2 linked regions of the Struthio camelus genome follow. The protein of the gene in region 1 interacts with the protein of each later gene in a pairwise test. Links are inferred from orthologs where the notes say so. Each region holds a gene or a part of one and is shown in the gene's direction. Other genes may lie near its edges.

Region 1 (7,239 bases):
GCTGGGCCCTTCTGGGAGCAGCAGTGCCAGGAGATATTTGAGCAGTTGCTGGGGTTTTGCTTCATTTCCGGTGGCTCTGGCAGAATCTGCCTGCTGCAAACTCTGCTATGCCAAACCGAAAGCAGAGCAGCTGTAAGGAGATCTGCGAAGGCGGCTTTGAGCCTGGCAGCCCGTTCCTGGGCCCAGGCGCTCCATGCCTCAGTTTCCCTACTGACAAATCCTGCAAGAGCCCGGGCTGTGCTGAGTGCGGTGAAATCCTTAGGCAGCCCCGTGGATGTTTTTGGCTTGCAGTAATATGCAGTCTAAGGATACAGGTAGATGGTACAAACCCCCACCCCCACTCCTGCACTAAACCCCTGGGCTTCAGGGGAAAACTGTAGCCCCTGTCAGCCCCACATCAGGGTCAGAGCAGCTCACTCCAAGTCTGACCCAGGCCCGTGCACTCGGATCAGCGCTGTCTGCACCATTCTGGACACGGCAGCAAGTGCCTGCTACAGAGCCATGACTCAGAGCCACTCAGGCCATGGGACAGACGGGAGCTGCTGCTTTTGCAATGAAGAGAGCCCTTTCCATGCTCCCTGCGCCTTCGCTGGCATTGGCGGGGCCATGGAAAATTACTCTGCTCTGTCTGTGGTGTAGTAAACCGATGCATTGGGGAAGGAGGGGGCTGCGAAATGATGTCGGCCAGGGTGTGTCCTTGGAAAAGACACCAGGCAGCCAGGGCAGAGGGGTCCAGATCACAACTGGGGGGCTTAAAATAGCATCTCCTGCTGCATGCCATCTGGCTCGGCCCCCTCTGCTCACTGTGGGAGGAGGATGGAGGCTCACCCAGGCATGAGAGAGTTAATGGCCCTGCCTTTGCCTGCTGGCTGCACCCTCCGCTCTAACCTGCCAGCCTGGAGAGGCAGGGCAGAGGCTCGGATCTAGCAAGTGACACCGTGTTTCTTGCCACCTTTCCTACGCTGATGAGTAGAAGGAGCGTGGTCGGTCTTATGACTGAGGCTTGACTCACCTCGTAGCATCTGGCACCTTCTCCCACCTCCCTGCTTCCCATCCCGCTGCGGCCAAGGCAGATGCCCGGCACGCTGCAGCCCACTTGCTGCAAGTCCAAGGTGTCCCTGGGCTGCTTGGACTCTGCAGGGAGCTTGCAGGATACTGCTCAAACAGCTGCAGCCCAACTTCAGCATTTGGGCTGGCAGCAACAGCTCCAGGCAAAGGGCTCCTTGGGGCCCTGCCAGACCACCAACACCCTGGGAAGCGTGGGTGCCAAGGCAGTGTCTGGCAATGAGGGTGTGAATGTTGGCGAGTGTCACAGGTCTACAAGTGGCATCTTCTAACCCCCTGCCAGGTCTGGGGAGCCCTCATTCAGGACTGTGACCTCCCTTAGGCTGTCTCTGGAGCGAGACCTTTGTCCAATTAGTTTAGTGTCGCATGGCTGAGCTAAAAGCACAGTGCAAAGCCATGCATGTAGAAAATGCCACGTTGACCTGTATTAAAAGCACAATGCGAAACAATGTGGAAAAATCCATGCTGTAAAACTCGCTTCCCTTTAAACACACAGTTCAGGGTGCAAGCTGCTCTGCATCAGCAGGTGGTTTCTGAACTCTCACATGGGTTTATGCTCCACTGTCTCCAGCTTAATGCGTGGAGAGCTTGTGCTCTTCCCAGGCCTAATTAATTGTGCAATTATTTCGGCCACATGGTTGGCTCCTTTGACAAGGTAGCCATCTAAAAGCTGTTATTGGATAATGTTGGACTTGATGCAGACAGGATAAATCCTCAGTATGAAAACCATCTATTCTGGTACAAAGCCATGGCAATCGGAGGAGTACGTTTAGATTTGCACTGGGTGAGGACAAGCCAAAGCTGACCCTGACTGGTTCAGAGGAACCCCTTGGCTGTTGGACTTGGAGACGGGGTGAAACACAGCTCTGAAGGTAGGGAAGATCTGACCTCCACAAGAGCAATGCACTTGGCTGGCTCCTAGCTGAGGGGTTAAATGGTCCTTGTGTTCCCTCCCAGTTTTTTTCTGCCTCATAGGTGAGAAGGTGAATGCAGCCCGGGATGCTGAGCTATGGGTGACTCAATGGGAGAGGCTGAAATCAGCTCAAAACTGATTGCCGTCCAAAAAGCCAAGGACAAGCTGTTAAAACAGATGTACCAGGAATGGAAATTAGTGCCCGTATCAGCAGCGTGTATCTTCCCAGCCCCTTAGCAGGAGCTTGTGGGATGAGCTGTTCACTGCCTGCAGCCAGGAGACATGCCTATAACTGAAAGGTGTCATGAAGTAAATAGATGCACTGGCTGCTGTGGCCAGCCATGAGGAGATGAGGCTGATGTCTAGGACACCGGACTTGATATAGTTGCCAAAGCAGTCCTTGGGCATCTGCCGCATCCTGGGACTTTAGGGTTGAGGGCAAACTGAGATCTCCAATTGAAGGTGGTGCTAACAAAGCTAGAAATGATCCCCTGCATTGACCCTCTGAAGATGCTAGCACTGCTCCAGAGGCCCTTAGTTGATAGTAACAGGGACCACCAAGAAATCCCTCTCCAGCATCAGCCTGGTCCTGCTGCCTGCCAGTCCCCCAGGACCTCTGGGGCAGAGGTTCTCTCCAAGGTCCCAGCACCAAAATCATGATCCTCCTGCAACATCTCACATGGACCTCTTCTGGTGCACGAGAACCTGAACCTCACTCATCCTACAGGAAACTTTGACTTTCCTGTGCTGACAAGTAAATAGCACTCAAATCCAGGATAAATCAAGGTCATTCCCTGGCTCATGCACACCTTATTTGTAATGGAGACATGAAATGTTTTACCTGGAAATTCCTGGGGAAAATGTATAATAGGGGATAGGAGCGAGTGCTACCCTGGACACCAGGTCAGTCCATGGTCCGAAGCCCATGGAACAATCTGCAGCAGGACCCCTGAGTCCTCCCATGTGAGCCCAGCGTGGGGCTGGGTTTGATAGGGAACTGAGACCACTGAGGGGAGGTTTAAGGATCCTCAGTGATTGCGGGGGGGGGAGTGTTTTAGAGAGGGCCAATTTGGGGTTTTGAATGAGATGTCCTGTACAGTTAGCTCAAGTAACCTGGGGCTCTTATGTTCTTAATTGTGGAAAAGCACATTAAAATCTCACCAAATAGCTACATAGGAGGGAAAATAGGCAGGTTTGGCTTGGCTGGCTTGGTCCAGCTCAATTCCTCACGGCTGAGGATGACAGGGATGAGCACTCTGGGCAGGTTGGGGCATCCATCTTTGCTGGACCCGCTCTCCTGATTCAGGACACAGCTCTGCTTTATACCCTGCCATTGTGGGAGCCCCTGGCTCTTCTAGAAAGCTGAGCACCTTGGAAAGGGTGGTGGGTGAACCTCCATGTACCAGCTGCCCCACAGAGCTTGTGGCCCCAATGGGGCAGGATCACAGCCCAGCCAGCACAAGCAGAGTGGAGCAGCAACGGCCTTCGTGCCCTGTGCAGAAGGAGGGAGTCCTGCATCTTTGCCACTGTGGGCCCTTTCCAATGCTCTCCAGGCCCACGGCACTGTTCCAAGCCCCTGGCTTTGCCTGACCCAAATAGCTACCTCGCAACCTCTTGCTCCACCCCAAAGAGCTGCCACCGCCTTGACTTCCAGCATCCATGTGTATGGGGCCACTGCTGTCCCAGCCACAGATTCCACTCCTGTCTCCCCCTAGACCTCTCAGGCATCACTGTCCCCCTCCATGAGACCCCCCCTCGGCCCCTTGGGCATCAGGGCCCTGCTCCAGGGGCGCCAGCTGCACAAGTTCCCCTTGTCCCCTCCCCCCCCAGGTGCATTGACCAACACTGTCCTATGCTCCCAGGGACCTCCAGGCACCTTGGCCATCGCTATCCTTGCTCTCAGGGGCCCCAGACCCCTTGCTCCTGGGGCCGCCGGTTGCACAGCCCCCCGGTGCCTCGCGGGGCGATGTGCTCCCCCCGGCAGCACGGCATCCTCCGGTAAATCGCTCCCCCCGGCCCAGGCGGGCGTGGCGCGGCGCGGACCGTTGTCCCCCCGGAGCCCCCCGGCCCGGCCCCGTTCCCGGCGCCGTCCCCTCCCTCCGGGCCCGGTGAGGGGAGGAACCGGCCCGGCGCGGGGACCGTGCCCAGCCTCGCCCCTGCGCCGCCCCGCGCGCCTCGCTCCGGCTCCGGCTCCGGCTCCGGCTCCGGCTCCGCTCGCTCTCCCGCGCCGGGGCCCGCCGCGCCCCCCCGCCCGCCGGCGGCCTCGGGACCCGCCGCCCCGGCATGAAGGTGCTGCGGCACAAGATAGAGCTGCTGACAGGTACGGCGCGGCCCCGGTTTGGCCCGGGCGTTGCGCCCCGCTTCCACCTGCCGCTCGGCCGCAGCGGGGGTTTAAGCCCGGCAGGACCTCGGGGCGCGGCCGCGGCTCCGCTGCGGCTCCGCAGGCTCGGGGGTGAGCGGCTGCTTCGCTCTGTGCTATGGGGGGGGGGGGGGGGGGGTGTCACGCTATTGCTTCACTTTGCAGTTTGGGGGGGCTGAGCTCTTGCTGGACTTTGCAGGCTTTGGGGCTGTGCTATGGCTTCACTTTGAGCTGTGTTGGGGGTCACGCTCTTGCTTCGGTTCGTGCCGTTCTTGGGGTAGCCCTGTGGCTCCGCTTTGCTGCCGCCACTTTTCCCCTCTCTCCTCCCCTCCAGAGCTGGGCCGTGCATGGGGTGTCTGCTGCGGTCCCCTCCCTGAATCACGGCTGGCAGCTTTTCCATCCCTGAACAGCACCTGCTGTGAGCGGGTCCCCCTGCCGCCGCTCGCCTCGGGGGCCTGCATGATGTCGGGGGCCACGGGGGTCACGGGGGCCAGCGGCCGTCCCTCCGGGAGGCCGCAGATGTGCCCTGAGTGACGCAGGTAACTTACACCGTCTCCTCCTCCCCCTCGCTGTCCTGGGGGGCTCTGGAGCGCTGTCTCGGGGGCCGTGCGCACCCGCTGTGCCAGATGGACATGCAGTGGCCTGCTCCGGCGGACGGCACGACACGGTGGTCAGGTGCTCCAGGAGCTGGGTGCCCAGGGCTGCGGGGTGCTGGGCTTTGCCCCCAAGCTGAGGAGGAGCCTCGTGGGCTGGGGAGAGATTAACTCTGGCGTAAGCAAGATGGGGGGGGTCGCGATGCCCGGGGTGCAAAGAGTCCTTTGATCCCTGCCAGCGAGCTGGGACTGCAGGGACCCCCACCTGCCTCTCCCCACCATGAGAAGGCTGTTTGGAGGGAGGATGTTTTGGGGGAAGGCTGGCGAGGAGGAGGGCTGCAGCTGGGGAAGCCCGGCTTGGTGGCTGCCAATGGCAGGGACCAGGCTGGGACTGTGTCACCAGCCTCCTGGTGCCGGGGGTCCCGCGGGCTGGGGTCTTTCTGCTGGGCAGCCAGCATGGCATGTTGGGGGAGGGTGCTGGGTGTGCATGGGGCCGCTGAGCATCCCTTCGGTGCAGCCTCCGGCCCGCGTGGGGCCAGGCAGCATCTGCTGCTGTTCGCGAGCCTCCCTGGGGTGTCTAGCTGCTGTGTTGTTTCCTTCCTGGTGCCCTGAGGAGCAGGGCTGGGGAGGAGGTTGCTCGTAGCAACAGCCACTGCCGAGACAGCCGGCATCTTCACACAGAGCCCCGAAAGCGCCAGGCCCAGCATCGCCTTTGGCTTCCCCCCCTGCATCGACATGGCCTCATCTCCCAGCCTAGTGGGGTCTCACGTCTCTGCCAGCGCAACCCTTGGGCTCCCTGGCATCTCATCGCAGTTGTAAAATGCCCTGAGCTCTCACCGATGCTCGCCGAGGTCCTTTCCTCCCTGTGCCGCTTGCACGGGGCTGTTGCTGATAGTCGCAGCCCTGGTAAGTGAGAGGCAGCCGTGGGAGTTGAGGCCAGCAGAGCTGGGCGCCCTGAAGTGCCACAGCTGACTTCCCCACACGTGCTTTCGCAGCTGGCTGTGTGTGCTGTTATTAATAATAATGTTAATAACAGTAATGCATTTCCCTGCCGTAAGCCGCTTCTACTCCAGTAGGCACCGCTCGGCTGCAGCTCCCTGGGGAGGGGGAGCCAGCGTGGCCATTTCCACTCACATCTGCGTGTGCGATGCCAGGACCATGTCAGGGCAGAGCACCGGTGGGCTGATGCCACAGCACAGCCCGCAGGGACAGCTGCAGTGGCCCTGTCTGGGGGTCTGTGTGTCGCTGGGCACAGTGGGGTCCTGCGTGCAGCTCCTATGTCTCTGCTCGGCCCTTCTCCCCCTCCCGCTGGGAGCCGTTTCCTTTCCCCTTTGGAAGGAAGTTTTTCTTCCTTTTCTGGCACCCAGTTAGAGCCTATCCTTGCAGGATGCAGGCACAGGGCTGGATGTTTGCAAGGGCTCAAGCTAACATACTGTGAGAGCCTGGGATGCAGCTGCAGGCTTAAATTGTTGCTTGCAATGGCCTACGAGGGTGCAGAGAGTTTCTTGCTTTGACGTCCTCTTAGCATGGAAGGTGGCTGGTGCCGTGCTCTATTTGGGATTGATTTGGGATTTTGGAGGAGGTGGTTCCTACTCTGCCCAGGAAATGGTGGCACAGCGTTGGGAAGGCAGAGCAGGGGCAGATGCGAGTCTGTGGGGGGTGAGAGCATACCCAGACAGTGGGTGCTGCCTGCTCTCAGAGGTCAAGCTGTGGGGGGAAAGGATGCTTTCCCAGCTATGTTGCCTCGGCATGGGACAGGATCGCTCGTGCCCCATGGTTGCATTAGGGTGCACCTGGTGTGTCACGGTGCCAGGCTGCAGAGATGCCCAAGCCACACAGCCAGGACCTCTCAATGTCCCAAACCTCTTGGTGGCAGATGCTGCATCTCACAGTGCTACGCGTGCATGAGGCTCCCCCTTCGGAGTGCTTCCATGCTCCCCCTGCTGCATTTCGAGAAGTGGGCTCAGGCCTGCCAGGGCACCCACCACCCGCTCCAGGCACCCAAGAGAGGGGTCCCCAACCAGCACCCAGGCTGGCTGTGCCCTGTCTGCGGGATCTCACTGCCTCCCTCCCACTCGCAGTGTGTCTGGGTTGCCCTTTCCTCTCCAGGCTCCGTTACAAGCTCTCTGAACCCACCAGCATTGCCCAGGGCCACTAATGGGGTGGCAGCAGCTGCCACCTTAGCCACAGACCCTATCTTTTGCATTGGGGGCCGATGGGAGGGCCCAGTGCTATTTACTTCTCCCCCAGTCTCCATTTTAAGTCTTTTTGGCTGGGAAACACAGCACTGCAGCGTGGCTGGCTGGCAA
Region 2 (7,665 bases), on another chromosome or scaffold:
CTTGCGGACACTTCTTATCATCTAAAAATGACAGCAACTGATTTTGCAGTTCTGTGACAATCCCAACTTTAGTTTAGGCTTTAATATGCACTTGAAGAAAACCAAGGGGAAGAGTTTAGAATTTATTTATAAAATATTTTAATTAAAAGAAGTTTTTAGCCCTTTGGTTGTGTAGATAGACCTTCTTATGTACTATGAATAAATATACTTCTGTCTACTTTTTGACTCTACAGGCAGGCAGACCTGAAGCAGCATCATTATTTTATTCTGTGAGATGCCAAGACGCAATTATTTACATAAAAATGCTATTAACCAAGCTATCCAACACAAACACGCACTCATGCCATGGCAACTTAAAAACGCAGTCCTGATTCTAACCTCTTAAAGAATTCAGGTTTTTAAAGATTGAAACTGTATCAGAATCTGTAGATAAACAATCACATATGGTATTGTAACACTTCCTGCCCAGACCTAGTAAAAATAACTTAGCTACTTTAATTGAAATGGCTAGGATTTAGGAAACAGTATTGCCATAAATCTGCTTTAGGGCCATTTGTGTAGAAATACACCTGAACAGTAAAATCTAGACTTTGCTATGAAAACCTACTCAAATTCCAGAAAAATCAGTGTTAAAGGATTGTGCAGGTTAAAATGAATGGCAGTTACAAGCAAAAAGAAAAAAAACTGCACATGGTCTGCAATCACCAGGAAAATCCACTGCTGATGGAGTTCATGCAGATTAGTTATGTAGCTGGATAATAAAACTGGAAATGTTTATGACCAAGTGCTATTTGAACTTCCCTCGAATAAGATAAGGATAATCACGCTCTGCGTTCCAAACCATAAACTGATCCACCCAGTTTTCCACCCACTCAGATTTCTCCCAGTGCAGGGCATTCACAACAGATTCAGGGCCAGATCATAAAGTTCATTGGACATCAGGCCCTCTAGAACGCAGTCCCAAGAACCTACAGCTAACCAACTGGACACAAGTCTGAATCTCATTCCCCTCCAAAACACACCTCAGTCAGGAGCTGTAGGTGCCTCCAGAGCCTGGAATCCTCCCCTGAAGATAAATGACGGGAACTCAGTGCTCACTCCTAAAATGTGTCTAGAGGAGGAATAAGAGGCATCCGTTTCTTATCTGATAACCAACCGGTTAAAGCACTCAGAAAAGCGAAGAGGCTAGGCTCAAGTGTCTTCCTTAGCCTCATGGATTCAGTCTCACATCTCCCACTTCTTAGGGGTGCAGGAGGCATCCAGCTGCAAAGGGCATGGGGGTGAGGAGAGGAAAGGTATTCCCTTCTCCCATTCCTGAAGTTGTGCAACATGAAAAAAGGAATGGGCCTAGAGAAGGCATAAGAATGAGTAGGACTTGTTGCTTCTTCCTCTTCTGGCAGTCACGATTTAAAAACTGTGTTGCTATTACCGCATTTTAGAAGTATCCCGATCCCACTGCAGTACTAGGTGTGCTCTGAGCATAGCTGAGAGGAGCTGACTGCTTCAACTAGATTTTGAACTGGGGCGGGGAAGACAGGCATCTCAGACCAAGGTGTTTCTAGTCATCTCAGAAGCAAAACTGTGCCATGTATCTAAAAATAAAAGAATACAATGTTAGCGGCCTAGCTGGTTCAGCCTCCAGAGTAACTACAGTTGCATGAAACCCTCTTAGAAACCTGATCTTAAAAATCACAGCTGAATATGTCGAGGAGAAACACCTGGAAGGAATTTTAGTCCCTTTTACAAAACATTATATGGGATAGTACTGGATGAAGTAGTACTTGGGCATCCCAGTGAGACAACTCCCTGCAGTCCCCAAAGCACCTCTCCTAACCCACCAGAGAGGAATAACAAAAACGCTTGATGATGGCTATATCTTTCCTCTGCAAGTTACTTATACCAAGAAAGATGACAGAATACATTGTAAGTGGTCTGACGAACACACACCTTTCTTTACCCCTAGGTATCCAAAATGTTTACCTCAAATAAACATTTTCCACTACTGAAATTTATGTAGCTATGCACTGTTCAATGCTGATTAAAAAAAGTGGATACACATGAAACGTGTTCAGTATTTTGAACGTGGAACCTACTGTAGGGCATAAAGAAATCAAAGGAAATTGCTATCTTTTTCCAAAATTACACTGTCTTGGCAACTTCCACCGGTTTATGGTATTCTATTTTTTTTTTTTTATTTTTTTTCCTGAAAACCTCAACTCCTCCCCCGGTAAGCGTGAAAGACACAGTTTTGTTTGTTAGAAGTAGGCTTCTAAAACCAAAAAACTAAAAACAACGCTCCTAACTCTCAGGCCTCAAATATCTTTTACCAGAAGGTAAACAACAACCCTTTGCAAAGTGACGTTAGGAAATAACTCCGTCAAACTGGCTGGATCCGACTCCGGACTTCCGAATGAGCAGTTTCGCGACCCAGTTCCACCACGAGACCACCCCCCCACCAAAACCGAAACCCACCGGCTGGTAACACACCCCCTTCCAAGGGGAGCGGGGCAGGCCCGACGCCACACACCGCCGGGCGCCGCGGCGCCGGGTGACAGCCCCTGCGCCGGCCCCGCAACACCCCGAACGCTGGCGGCGTTGCAGCGGTCCACCACAGCTCTCCGTGCGCGCCCTGGACGTAGGTACACGCGCGTACAGCAGGTCGCTGCACCCTGTCCTAAGGCACGCGAGGCAACAACCTCGCTGGGGGCAAACCTACAGCAGCACGCGGTCTGTCAGGCAGTCTGTCAGGTCTGTCAGGTAGTCCGTCAATCAGTGAGACCCCCCCCATCCTGTCAGTCAGTCCGTCAGCGACACCCTCAGCCACCGAACCCGTCAGCCAGTCCGTCAGTGACACCCCCAGTCACCGAACCCCCAGCCCGTCAGCCAGTCTGTCAGCGACACCCTCAGCCACCGAACCCGTCAGCCAGTCCATCAGCGACACCCCCAGCCACCGAACCCCCAGCCCGTCAGCCAGTCCGTCAGCGACACCCCCAGTCACCAAACCCCCAGCCCGCCAGCCAGTCTGTCAGCGACACCCCCAGTCAGCGAACCCCCAGTTCGTCAGTGACGCCGCCAGTCACCGAATCCCCAGTCCGTCAGCCAGTCTGTCAGCGACACCCCCAGTCACCAAACCCCCGGCCCGCCAGCCAGTCTGTCAGCGACACCCCCAGTCAGCGAACCCCCAGTTCGTCAGCGACACCCCCAGTCACCAAACCCCCGGCCCGCCAGTCTGTCAGCGACACCCCCAGTCAGCGACACCCCCAGTTCTTCAGTGACGCCGCCAGCCACCAAACCCCCGGCCCGCCAGCCAGGCAGTCAGCGACACCCCCAGTCACCAAACCCCAGCCCGCCAGCCAGGCAGTCAGCGACACCCCCAGTCACCAAACCCCCGGCCCGCCAGCCAGTCTGTCAGCGACACCCCCAGTCAGCGAACCCCCAGTTCGTCAGCGACACCCCCAGTCACCGAACCCCCAGCCCGTCAGCCAGTCCGTCAGCGACACCCCCAGTCACCAAACCCCCGGCCCGCCAGCCAGTCTGTCAGCGACACCCCCAGTCAGCGAACCCCCAGTTCGTCAGCGACACCCCCAGTCACCGAACCCCCAGCCCGTCAGCCAGTCCGTCAGCGACACCCCCAGTCACCAAACCCCCGGCCCGCCAGCCAGTCTGTCAGCGACACCCCCAGTCAGCGACACCCCCAGTTCTTCAGTGACGCCGCCAGCCACCAAACCCCCGGCCCGCCAGCCAGTCTGTCAGCGACACCCCCAGTCACCAAACCCCCAGCCCGCCAGCCAGGCAGTCAGCGACACCCCCAGTCACCAAACACCAGCCCGCCAGCCAGGCAGTCAGCGACACCCCCAGTCACCAAACCCCCAGCCCGCCAGCCAGGCAGTCAGCGACACCCCCAGTCACCAAACCCCAGCCCGCCAGCCAGGCAGTCAGCGACACCCCCAGTCACCAAACCCCCAGCCCGCCAGCCAGGCAGTCAGCGACACCCCCAGTCACCAAATCCCCAGTTCGTCAGTGTCACCACCAGCCACTGAACCCCCCGCCCGTCAGCCAGTCCGTCAGCCCTCCAGGGAACCCCCCAGTCACTCTGTCAGGGAGCCCTTGAAGTCAGCCAGCCCATCCGCCCGTCAGCCCGTCGGTCCGCCAGCGAAGCCCCTCCAGCCCGCCCGCCAGCCCGCCCGCCCGCCAGCGAGCCCCCCAGGCCGCCCGCAGGCGAGCCGGGGCGCAGCGCCTCGCCCTCGCGCGCCCTGCCCCGCACGGCCGCCCCGCCCCGCACTCGCCCCCCGCGCAGGGCCGGCGGCGGCGGCGGCGGCGGCCCTGCCCCGGCACCTCGGCAGGGCGCGGCGGCGCGGGGCGGGCCGGGGGGAGGTGGCCGGGGCGGTGCGCTCGCTCCCGCCCGCTCCCCCGCACCTGCTCCCTCCTCCGCCTCCTCCGCGTCCACCTGGCCGCGCGCGGCAGCGGCGGCAGCAGCGGCGGCGGCAACAGCAACATGTTGCCGAGAGCGGGCTCGTCCATGCCGCCGCCCCCCAACCCCGTTGCCTACTTCCCGCCGCCCCGGGTCACGCTGCCCTCCGGCCTGGACATCCTGCGCACCTACTCGGGGGCCTTCATCTTCCTGGAGATCGTGAGTGAGCGGCTGCCGCGCTCCCCCCCTCCCCCGCGGCCTCACCTGCCATTTTGTGAGCGGGAGGGGAGAGGCGCGGCGGGCGGCGGCTGGAGCCGGGCCCGCGTCTCTCCGTCCTGCCGCCGCCTCTTTGCTCGCCTCGGGCCCGGCCGCAGGTGGCTGCGAGCGGGGGTGGGGGGGCCGGCGGCGGCCCGGCCCGGGAGACCGTCTGAAATAAGAGTTTATATGGGTAGTTGAAGCTGGTGAGGACTTTGATCCCCTAAGAAGCCCTGAAACGCCCGAGCCAAAAATCCTCAGTGAAAAAGCTGGGCTGGTTTTCGCCTGCGTCCTGTGGAAACTCCTGCGGGTGGCTTTAACTCCGCGTGTAAGACCCTGCTCGTTTCAACGGGACCGAGGTCCCCTGAGCTGGGGCTGAGTATGATGAGCCCAGGCGGAAATGTAGCCCTAATTAGCAGGGGGGAAAAACCTTGGCAGAACTCATCGGGGTTTTTTTTTTTGATTTTGTTGTTTTGTTTCTTCCTTGGAGTCAGAGCTGCCTACTGACGTGGGTCCCGGCCTGTGGGACAGATCCCACCATGCAAGCAGCAACAGGCCTCACTGGAGCAAAGAGCTCAGCGTGCATGTCCAGGCGCTAAACGAGGCCCCAAGTCAGTAGGGACAAAAGGTTAATTAGGTTGGCAAATCTGCCGTACATCTGACAGCCAAGCTGTGGCAGACGGGTGCGATGTTAGGGGAAATAGCGCTGCAGCAGGTGCTGAAATTAGTCAGTGTCTGTAGTGGGATGCACAGATGCTTTCTGCGGTGCCCACTGCTTCCTCGCTGCCCGTCGCTGTCTGGTCTCTGAGTAGCAGACCTGCACCTGCAGGCCTGTGAAAGTAGAGAAACTTTGGCTCTTCGTAACAGCTAAAAAAGCAACCCTGGAGAATAAGCTGAAGGCTAATACGTTAACCCCGTGGGAATTTTGAACTAAGACTAGCAGCGTGTCTTTACATATACACTGCTGCCACGTAACGCTAGAGAGGACCCGGTTCGTCTTATAGCAGGCGCCTTCTGAAAGATACCTCTTTTCCAACCGTGATCCCAAAGAAAGTTCTTTGAATCTGAAAATATAGCTTCTGACTCTGTAATTGTAGATCTAGAGGATTTAAACTGGAAAGTAGTAATTTACTTTGAAATTAATTGTAGCTATCATATCACAGCAACTTGGATTATGAAGTTAAACTTTTCTATAATAAATGAACATATTTCAGATGGCAATTACGATTTTTTTCAGGCATAATTTTTTTATAAAGAGGCAGGATTTGCAGGGAGAGATAATATCCTTTGTTAGACCAACAACTGATTTAAACAGACAGGCTTTAGAATATGTAAATCCTCCTTCAGCCCATCATAGTGCAGCCTCCCTACTACATATTCACTGAGATCAATATATTACAAACAAAATTTGTGGGGCTGAATTCTTCTCCTAGTTACAATAACTCTAAAAAGCTGTGTACTTTTCTAGTTATTACCACATAATGCACAACTTGCTTTATTCTGTATTCTGGTCTTCCATTTCACTTTATTACTTGATCTGTTCTCTTTCAGCGGTTTATTACAAATGCATTGAAAAATAAGATGCAATTTAGTTTCTTTTCTGTATCTCATTTGATTAGGACTAGCAAAACTAAACATCGTAAGATTGAATCCAAATCTCATGTGCATCCTTGTTGCACTGATTTTAGAATATATATTGATAGTATAGATCAATACTACATATGTTGTGGTGTGTGTGTGTCAACAGTGTTTTCACATTTCTTGTATTCCCTTCAAATTGAGACTAAGGGTAAAATTTTCAGCAGCAGCGCATGAGTAACCGGAGTTTGTAAATCCCATTTTCAAGGCTGCTTTAAGAGCTTTTAAGAATTTAGTGGAGCTTCATCTTAACTTCCACTTAGTGCCTATCACTTCTGAGGATGGTACTTAGACTCCTCAAGTACTTTTGAAGTGTTTTCTCTGGGTTCCTCAAAGTAACCTAAGGACTTGTTGATGTGTGATATTAAGGGCTAAGTTCTTAGACGGAAAGGACCAAATAAAATTTATCTCTAAGCTCGTCACCTGTATTGCTTTCCTTGCAGCTGTTTGGAACAATAGTCTGGATTTTGGTAGCTGCCACTCAAGTTCCACTGCCACTGCTGCAGGGATGGGTGATGTTTGTAGCAGTGACCGCGTGGTTCCTGTCCATTGTGTTCCTCTGTGTGTTCCTCTTCAGTTACGCAAATAGGATTGCCATCAACTGGAACCAGACAGTAAGATTTTGTTTTAAGGATTCTGTTGCCTTTATAAACTGGAGATCACTTAATGAGAAGTACTTATCCTAAGTCGTACTACTTAAAACGTACTGTTTTAACAAAATTGCTCAAAGCAGAGGAATTCAAACTGGAAGAAGACGGAGTAGAGCAACAGGGATGATGGGGAAATGTAAAACTTGTTTTATTATGGAAACTGAAAGAGCCTGACTTTTGAACTTGAATGAATGTGTAAGCTTGTCCTCTATAAACACATAGAAGGCGTGAGCAGCAGGGAGAGGACTAGTTTAACAAGGCATGGCAACAAGTTGGTTTAAATTGGCCAGAAATAATTGCAGACTGGAAACAATAAAATATTTTCTAACTATTAGAGGAGTCACGGTAACACCCCGTGAATAATGGGAAGTAGAAAGCTCCATCTAATATTGTAGATGAAGTGATAGATTTGTCAACACATTGTATTATCTGATTATCTGAGAGAGTACAAGTCTCAAGGACCCAGGAAGCCTCTTCCAGTCCTGTGTTCCTATGAAAGCCTGTAGCTGTCTTTTGGGTTAATTCCTTAGGTAGTACAGCACTGATGCACAGCTGTTAGACTTTAGATAGTCAAAGACAGCCTGACCTGCAGTATAGTATAGCTTAATATCTTTTTAGGAGATTTAAATTCCTCTTTCTTAGAGGAAGCCTGGGGAAACTACAGATCTTGCTATGCTCTGCTCAGCTTTTGTTCAGTAAGAAGACAAGATT

Evidence for each region. The genes of interacting proteins can lie anywhere in the genome.
Region 2: the proteins of NDRG4 (region 1) and MAL2 interact in binary tests that used the Homo sapiens proteins (3 or more experiments, as listed by UniProt). The two-hybrid records come from large-scale screens. The link is inferred for Struthio camelus from reciprocal best matches to the Homo sapiens genes NDRG4 and MAL2.

Annotation. Positions count from the first base shown.
Region 1 is NC_090951.1:30,455,163-30,462,401, forward strand, and holds the start of NDRG4 (protein NDRG4), read left to right. Parts: upstream 1-4,195; 5' UTR 4,196-4,261; coding exon 4,262-4,298; intron 4,299-7,239. UniProt on the Homo sapiens protein: Contributes to the maintenance of intracerebral BDNF levels within the normal range, which is necessary for the preservation of spatial learning and the resistance to neuronal cell death caused by ischemic stress.
Region 2 is NC_090943.1:158,385,070-158,392,734, forward strand, and holds the start of MAL2 (protein MAL2), read left to right. Parts: upstream 1-4,357; 5' UTR 4,358-4,495; coding exon 4,496-4,630; intron 4,631-6,747; coding exon 6,748-6,918; intron 6,919-7,665. UniProt on the Homo sapiens protein: Member of the machinery of polarized transport. Required for the indirect transcytotic route at the step of the egress of the transcytosing cargo from perinuclear endosomes in order for it to travel to the apical surface via a raft-dependent pathway.